2 linked regions of the Schizosaccharomyces pombe genome follow. Changing the gene in region 1 together with any one later gene gives a genetic interaction. Each region holds a gene or a part of one and is shown in the gene's direction. Other genes may lie near its edges. The genes, in order: adn2 and SPOM_SPBC1778.03C.

Region 1 (4,827 bases):
TTCTTTTAACCTATTTATATTAGTGCATGTTTTTTTAGCAATCGAACATACTAAATGTCCATTAGTCGCACTCTCCGATTCCTTTCGTTTATCCATTTCCAGTTTACTATATATAATAACTGCAATTTCTGATTGACAGTTTTCAGAATTAGAACGTAAAATGAATAGCAGGGACGGGAGTGGAAAATATATAAAACGGATCGACAATCGTCGCAGGGGTTTCTGTCACAACCAAAATACCAATAAATCGGACTTTTCTTTGGTGTTCAAATAACGAGGAATGATGAGCTCATTCCTATAAACAGGACTTAAAGTAGAATTTATATGAACAACATTTTGATTACAGGCAAAATCCCTAAAAATTTACCCTTCTCATGGAAGCCATTTAAAATTCGTTTAAACAGTATAAATAAATTGTAAGAAATATCTATTCCGTATACTATATACAGACCTTGTTTGTGCTTGAGGAAAAACACTAGTATCAATTAATGTCTTATAATATTTAACGAGCGGCTTTAATATCTAGTCTATCTCGATTTTACCACCATCAAAAACACTTGAGAAGCATTTTGCCATTAGCTAAAGATGCGTAATCACATTTTTTTTGGGTATAGTTATTAACAAATTTTTCTACTTAAAAATTGTATGTACGGTTTTCTGGGCTGAATTGTCTATTCTAGTCGCCTCAAAAATTGAAATATAAACAACGAGATAATCACTGATTAGGTATAACCGCATACAAAATTTCATAAACTTTCTCCCGTCGAATATATTTGTACTTTAAGAAATTAATTTTTGATTAATATCAAAATCCATAATTCTACAGGGAATCTAGCATGGCAATAATAAAGGATTATCCAGTAGATAGTAGTTCTAAAGCCGGATTATAGCATTTGCAATGAAAGAGAGAAACTAAATTTTCTACTTGATAAAAAATGAATTATAGAAAACTAAAATGTGGAATATGTGAAACTAAACAAATTTACGCAAAGCTTCCAATCTTCATGTAAGTACTTTCTAAAAACTTGTAGTGCCAAAATTAAGCATCTTGCTTGATTTACTGAAAAACACAATTTGCAACTAGTTTTCGAATAGTGAACACATTCCAAAATCTTTACTACTAAAAGCATTTCTAACAACTTTAGAAAATGATAATATGAGTTCCAGTGCTTAGTATTTACATCGCTAACTTATGTAAAAAGCTGTAGATATGTATATTTTCCAAGGCAAGGTAAATAAAACAAGAATAATTGATACTATCTACATAATTACAGCATTCTTACAAAAAACTGCGGCTAATAGTATTCTTAATTCATTATGATGTTTTTACGGATGAAGAAATATCAATTTACATTTACTTTCTAAACCCACCTATCCCTTAATTCCACAGTTTTCAGTTAGTAAGTTTGCATATATAAAATCTGAAATTACCACTGGTTGATTCATTGAAAGTATATCATCTTAGAACCATATTTTAATATAGCCCATTTTAGATAATTCAAATCCGAATATATACATAATAACTATTATTAAAAATGTTTTTAGAGCATGACTTGCCTTGGAAAATAAGAAACCTCTATAGAGTTTTACTCTTCAAGGGTTTTGATTTACTCTGTAACTAAATTCAAACATAACATTTATGATTTTATGATTTTCAGTAATTGATAGAAAACTAAAATGAAAATATGATATACAAAATGTTGCGGTAGTATAGCGTGCGCAGATCTTTAAAATTATATATCGCCAGCGTGCATCGTTGTAGATCCATATTCTCGTTCGCAACACCTAACTTCTGCACATTTCTAGTTTATGGCTGATCCAGGTTTAAGGTCCGGCGTCGGATTGCCAAGCCAGCAAGGACAGAAACATGATTTACAAAAAGATCAAAAACAACCGCACGTAAATAATGCCGATAGGACCACACAATCCTTACTGAATTCGTACATATATGATTATTTAATCAAGAAGGATTATTGTGAGGCAGCCCGAGCTTTTGGCCGTGAAGCACAAGTACAAACGCTCGTCAGAAGTCAAGAAGAAACCAATTCCTTAGCTAAGCGTCACAAAAGAATGTCTCCTGTTGCTGTAAAGCATGAAGGTATAAGTAATAATGAATCTTCGGATGAAAACATGAATGTAAATAACGGTAATTTAGATTCCTTTTCTTCTTCTTCTGCTCCGCCGCCACCTCCTATTTTGCCTATCGATTCAGCTGGTGGTTTTTTAATCGAGTGGTGGAATGTTTTTTGGGATATTTACAATGCTCGTCGGGGTCAAGGATCTGAGCCGGCAAAGGCGTATATGTCTCATATTAGCAATCTTAGGAAGAAATCTCGTTTAAATTTGCAAGAAATTCAAAAAAACTCTCTACACACTGGAAATACTTCTCACCCTTATGCAAACGCCTCATTTCCCCATGATCCTGCCAACGCAATGGGTCAGCAGATTGACTCATCTCAGTTTCATCAAGGGGCAGGTGGATTGAACGATAGAAATCAGCACTTAATGCGGCAAGCTATGCTAAATAATCAAAGCCGTGAAACGTTTCCCCCGACCGCTGCTCAACTTCAACAATTAAAACAATTACACTACAGGCAGCTACAATCTGTGCAACAACAACAAAAGCAGCACCAGCAAAAGAAAACTCCACAAAGTGGTTCTACCCCACAAATGCAAAACACGACTTCTCAACCTACAACTCACGATACACATCCACCTAAGCAGCAAGGTCCAATTTCCGATTTTCGATCCATCCCTTCTTCACCCAAAACAGAAGGTGCTCCATCTAATGCTCAATTTCGCCCTAGTTTACCGGCAACTCCTAATGGTTCCGTTCCCCAGTCGAATCCGTTGTACGATACCACTGGTCTTAACGGAGGACAATACCCTGTTGTTCAAAACTCTGCTCAACCATTGCTTCACGAGATAAATTTTGCTTCAAACAGAAATCCACATCTCAAACAAGGAGGAGCAGTACCTTCTTCTACCCTTCCTCAACAACAGAAATCTTTAGACAAACCTAAACCTGCTCAACAGCCTTCAACTGGGCAATTTTCTGGAAATCAAATGAACCAATACGGATTCTCTAATTCTCCTTACTCTCAAAATATGCTATATAATTTTAACGGAAACGCAAACCCCAGTCGTCTAAACCCAGCTCTCAAGAATTATATGGAGGAGTTAAAGCTACTAGAACAACAGAATAAAAAGAGGCTTCTGTTAGTTAGTCAGGAAAAAGAAAGAAAAGGGTACACATCGGCATCGCCTGATAGACCGCTTTCTCAGACTATTACTGAATCTAGTGTTGCAAAAACCAAAAGCACTACTCCTAAATCTACTGACACTCCTACAGAAGCCACCACATCTCCTGTAAAGGTCTCAACAAAAAATAGTAATACTACTGAAAATCTTAATGGCATCAATGAGTCAAATATGCCTATGTTACAAAATGGTCTTCCTTTACGTACATCAGGTGATCATCCATCAAACTATTCTAATCTGATTGAAAACTCATCTACCTCTGACACAAATAATGCGGACAATGGAATGGACGTTATGGGGAATTGGCAATTACAACAAACTCATTCATCGCGACCCACTCCAAATGCCAGTTCTCCATTGGACGTTCGATCAAAACAAAAGCCTTCTTCTGCTAATTCAAATGCTCCAACTCCAGCACCGACCGTCAACACTACCAACCCCGAATCATCAACAAATGAAGCAACAAGTGTAGGTCCTGCTTTGGAACCATCGCAAGGAGCAAATGTTCACAAATCCGATTCTGAGTTGGATAATCAAAATCAGTCAGGAAAATCAAATCCTGATACTTCCGCGACTCCTTCTGCACCTACGGAGTCTACCACAGTTGCCACTAAATCTTCAGACAATCAATTATTGGATGTTGGAAATTCAACAGACATCGATGCGGCTCTTCTAAATGATTTTGACTTCGACAAATTTTTAAAAGATACTAGTACTGGTGACGATTTATGGTTTGGATTGTTTAATTTGCCGGATAATGAAGACTCGACTGCTGCTTAATTTTGTCGAAACTTAAGTATTTTATCCTTGTTTTTCTTCTTTTTTAATTTGTTTATTTGGAAATTATATACCAGATTTTTTCATCTTTTTTGAATGCGTTGCGTTTTGTCATTATAAAAATTTAATATATAATTAATTGCTAGTTGGATATGGATTAGTGTACTCGGTTATAAATACCGGCCTACATCTTGTACTTTATATCTAATAATCAAAATTATTTCATGTGCTTTGAATCATTCTTATATTTTTTATAACTAAACACATTTAGGTAGTACATTAGATTGGCGATTAATCAGCCCCTGCGAAAAGGCCCCTCGTACAAATTCGCTTCTTTATACTAACTAATTAAACAACAAATCATGAGGTTCGATCGCTTAATTAGTAATAAAGTGTCGACGATTTTTTTATTTTTTGCAATATACATCCAAATACTGCATAACTAAGTGTGCTAATTCTGATAAAAATCATTAACATCGCCTGTAAATTAATTCGTAAATTAGAAAATTAATTCTCTGCGAAAAACCATTAATCAAACCATTAAAATCGAGAAATAATTCAATGATTTCCTTTTCGGTTGAAATTAACAGCTATACCTTTCCGTCGTGCGTTTATCATTCGGAAATTCTAATTTCCCCATGTAATATTTTTTAAGCTTCCCCATAAACCAAAATTCTTATGTTGTTGTCGTACAGAATTGGTATGATCAAAAATTATGATTTTTCCGTAATTTGCAACATCAACGAAAAGATATTCCCATTTATAGTCACCTTGAACATTTACAAGTCT
Region 2 (4,113 bases), 1.3 Mb from region 1:
CCTTGTGCGGTTATAGCAAGACTTGGCCATAAGATCTCTCCAGAATCCAATGTTTTCTCCCATTCTCGTACTGCAATTGGCTTATAGTATTGTGATAAATCTCTAATGCAGAGGAAGTATTCACGAAAGTACTCGACGTTTTTGCTTGGCACGTAAAAGTCTTTGTCTGATGTACCATACACTTTTTCACCGTCTAGGAGAGATTGCAAGCACGAAGCTGAGGTATTAACCAGGCTATCAGAGTTGAGTAATGTAAAGAGGATTCTGTTCAATAGTTCTAAGAAAGTTAGCGAAGGTTACACTGATATATTAAGAAGACTTACTGTCCAGGAGCCAAATTTTCATATTGGCAGTTTTCGAAAGGTAAAGTACATCATTCGGCTGGCACATTTCTGGGTCGGTAGTCCTGGTGGTAATGAAATGTGTAACTTCAAAAGTAAATAATGTTGCTACTTTCTATATATGTGTTAGTTTTGATCTGCGCAAGTTCTTGCATGAACTACTTACGGCTCCAAGATTATTAATCTTTTGCGTAACACGACGCTTGATTTCCTCATCAACGTTGTCAAAGTAAAATATAAAGTTGGGAAACGCCAATCGATAATCTCTTTGCCAGTAACGAAGTTTGGAAACTCGAATGCTGGTTCTTGGTATATCCTTGTTTCGCGTTAGGGAAGGTTTTACACAGTAGTTTGAAAAAGCAGTGGGTGGGAGAGCCATCTTTGCTGTGGCTTTAGCAGAGTCAAAGGCATTTTGATGAGGCATGTGCGTTTGTTGTTGAGGGTACCAGTCGGAGCATGAAGTTGCGCAAGCTGCAGTTTGACACAGTTCTTTGTCCGAAGTTTCTGTTTTATAGCTAAGAGGATTTTGAATATCTCTCTTTACTTCTTCGTTTATATTTTGTATACTGGGATTTTGGTCGACTAGAGGAGATCGAACAAACGGCTGAGACTTCACTGAATAGAAGTCCATACTCTTCCGGATTGACTCGGAAAGATTTTTAGGAAGAAGAAGTATGTATATATATTCCTTGGGAGGCTGATGAATTCACCTGTTGGTTAATCCTACTTATGTCTGGCTTTAATATTCAGCAATGGCCTCGGTAAGCAAGATGCAGGTTTTCCTCTAGAAGTAAAAAGATAAACCTATCTTTTTTTCTGTGGAAGTTTGGAGGAGTATCCTGGATATATATACAATTTGATTTTGTTTGTTTACTCAAATATTTTCTCATATTCACCTAGTATTGTTTGTAAACAAAAGCCTCGCCTCGCGTATTAAGCCAGTAAATTAAACGCGCGACACGTCGCGTTGCGTATCACATTCATACTAAATAAATAAGCTACTTTGGCTCCATTTGATAGTTTTGCTGGGTTCCTTTGTAAAAATTTTTTTAGTATTCATATGATTAGAAAATATATATTTACTTGATTCAAGCTTGTAAAATAAACATAGACCCAATTTTAAATAAATAGGTACCTAAAAGTCTAGGTAACATTGTTACACTGACACGTGAGAACTTTGTAGTTAATTAATCGTCAACATAACGAAAACAACTCAAAGCAATTCCCGTAACTGTCCATTTAGGAATTAACCAAAAAAACAAACAAACAAAATCTATTTTTATTCCAATGATACTTTTATGACTCACCAAGGCGTTAATAATTGCGAAAACACATACCAATATGTTTACAATTATTTTTTTAACGAAATTCGTTAAATACTTCATGGCATTTGAGAAGTTGTATGGCAATCGTATTTAACGGAGACTTTTTCATATTCAGTATCCCTTTTCATTTGGAACTTTAAGGTTTTCCCAGCTGAGAGTTCGTTTACATCATTTTATTAGATTTTTACTTGCAACTTGGGTTCGACTTTTAGTTCACTCATAAATTGTACCATTACCATTACGCTGGTGCATAAATAACCCTCCTTCTGGTCCTCTCTGTTCTTCATTTCCATCTTTCATTTTCTATTCTGCGTATTTTAACAGTTAAACAATTGTAGAATTTATTCGAGAGATTTGCAAAATTCTGTTTTAATAATTGGTTAGGTTTAATATTCTTTTCGTCTTTCAGAAATCAAGTTTAAGTATGCAGGGTTTCAAAATAGCTCGACATTTTGAGTAAGTAGTTAATTGTTAGTTCTATTTAAAGCTACTTCAAACTTGATAATTCATATCATCTGTTTTGCATGCTCATGGAACGTACCGCTCAACCCTTGCTAATACATGTGCAATGTAACACATAAAATCAATTTTTGATATAATAATCTTAAAAAAATGAGTTTTCTAACGTTTTTCAAGGCTTCCGACTGCCCCTTCTCAGTTCTTCGCAGGAAGCTCATTAAATAGGCTTTCGTTTCTTAGGTCTAATCGAGAATTTTTAAATAAAGCCTTTTATGATCATACCACTCGCTTTCTTCCTTTTTGTGACTTAAATCCGGCTCTACTCGTAAAGGACGATAAATTGGTCACTCTTTCATATCCTCAGATATCCAAATATTTCACGTTCTCCCCTTTTGAGCACACTGATAAACAAATTGCTGAACGATTTTCCAAAGGAGAAAGTTTACCTGTCCTTGTCTACATGGGCAACGAAGAAAGAAATGGACCAACAGATAATTGGAGTCAACACAACGTTTTTGCCATTGACATTACTGGCATCGATGAACTTCAGCAATCGATACGAGACAATGGAGGTACTTTCGTTAATCTTCGCTCTATCTTCACCGAACAATATCAATTGAGCGCATCGGATTCTGGTGCTTGTGCTTTTGCACGCTCTATTCTTGACTGGATTTCAAGGTACAGATTTTGCCCGGGTTGTGGAAAACGCAACATACCTACTATGGGCGGTACAAAATTGGTCTGCAGTGACGTTTTATTGAACGACGACTCAAACTGTCCTTCAAAGAAGGGTATTAATAATTACCAGTATCCTCGGACAGATCCATGCGTAATAATGGTTATATTGTCTCATGATATGCAACACATTTTACTTGGAAGAGCTTTGCGCCATCCGAAAGGACTGTATGCATGTCTGGCAGGCTTTCTGGAGCCAGGGGAAAGCTTGGAAGAGGCCGTTGTCCGTGAAACCTATGAAGAATCTGGAGTTGACGTAGAAAAGGTTTTATATTATGCTAGTCAACCCTGGCCTTTTCCTCAAAGTTTAATGTTGGCTTGTTTTGGAATTGCCCGAAAAAATGCTAAAATCCAGAGAGATAAAGACTTAGAATTAGAGGATGTGCGTTTTTTTTCCCGAGAGGAAGTTCTTCGTTCTTTGGAATGGGATGCCAAGGATGGACCTGCTCCAATTTTATTTCCCCCTAAACTATCCATCGCTAGAAATTTGATCCAAGCATTTGCATATGATGATTGGACAAATTCACAAGTTAAAATGTAAAGGAAGTTATAAAAATGGAAGTTTAGCTACTTTTCCAAAGATAATAAGTGAATTTTCTAAAAAGGTTGATTTACTCTGCTACATCAAAGCAAATATAATCGGCTCATCAGAATTGAAATATTCACACCTACTAAATCCAGAAACAAAAAGAATTTTGTTAAGTTCAATATAAAATATTTATATAATAAAATCATGAATTATGCATAAAAAGATTCGTAATATTGTACAAGTTTAGGTCTCTTTAGAGAAATAGAATTTGGGCAGAGATGCTCGGCAATTTAAGAAGTTTGTTTTGAAAGTAGTTTAGCAATGGCAATTCGTACTCTTCCACCCGTAGATTCCATAGCTTCAAGGAATTGTTGTTCTGTTGAATTTGTGTACCTTAAAATATTGTCGATCGCTTCATCAACCTCACGGTGATTTACTGACGACCTTAAAATAGAAACTTCATTTTGTAATTCATGCATTGCTAAGTTAATAAATTTTCCTTTCTCTTCACTGGGTACATGACCTGCAGGTAATGTAGTTACTTTTTCATTATTATCTGACGGTATGATTATAGTCGGACCGGTATGAGCTTCTTCGTTAACCATTCTGTATTTTTTCTGCTTTTTGGTAACCGGTTGCTGCATGTTCTCTTCCACTTTCTTATGAGAAGCTGCATTTCCTTCTAACGAAGTGTGAGCGACTTTTGTGGCACCAAAGCTTTCTG

Evidence for each region.
Region 2: mutations in adn2 (region 1) and SPOM_SPBC1778.03C together harm fitness more than expected from each alone (negative genetic interaction), as found in Schizosaccharomyces pombe (one large-scale study listed by BioGRID).

Annotation. Positions count from the first base shown.
Region 1 is NC_003423.3:4,399,830-4,404,656, reverse strand, and holds adn2 (transcription factor), read left to right. Parts: upstream 1-1,787; 5' UTR 1,788-1,809; coding exon 1,810-4,041; 3' UTR 4,042-4,274; downstream 4,275-4,827. Other genes in the region: U5 snRNP complex subunit Spf38, read right to left, coding at 1-10, 52-96; TIM23 translocase complex subunit Tim21, read right to left, coding at 4,666-4,827. UniProt on the Schizosaccharomyces pombe protein: Probable transcriptional regulator involved in cell adhesion.
Region 2 is NC_003423.3:3,100,143-3,104,255, reverse strand, and holds SPOM_SPBC1778.03C (NADH pyrophosphatase), read left to right. Parts: upstream 1-1,892; 5' UTR 1,893-2,090; coding exon 2,091-2,122; intron 2,123-2,302; coding exon 2,303-3,401; 3' UTR 3,402-3,613; downstream 3,614-4,113. Other genes in the region: Spo4-Spo6 kinase complex regulatory subunit Spo6, read right to left, coding at 1-277, 324-456, 508-972; telomere-binding protein Rap1, read right to left, coding at 3,680-4,113. UniProt on the Schizosaccharomyces pombe protein: mRNA decapping enzyme that specifically removes the nicotinamide adenine dinucleotide (NAD) cap from a subset of mRNAs by hydrolyzing the diphosphate linkage to produce nicotinamide mononucleotide (NMN) and 5' monophosphate mRNA.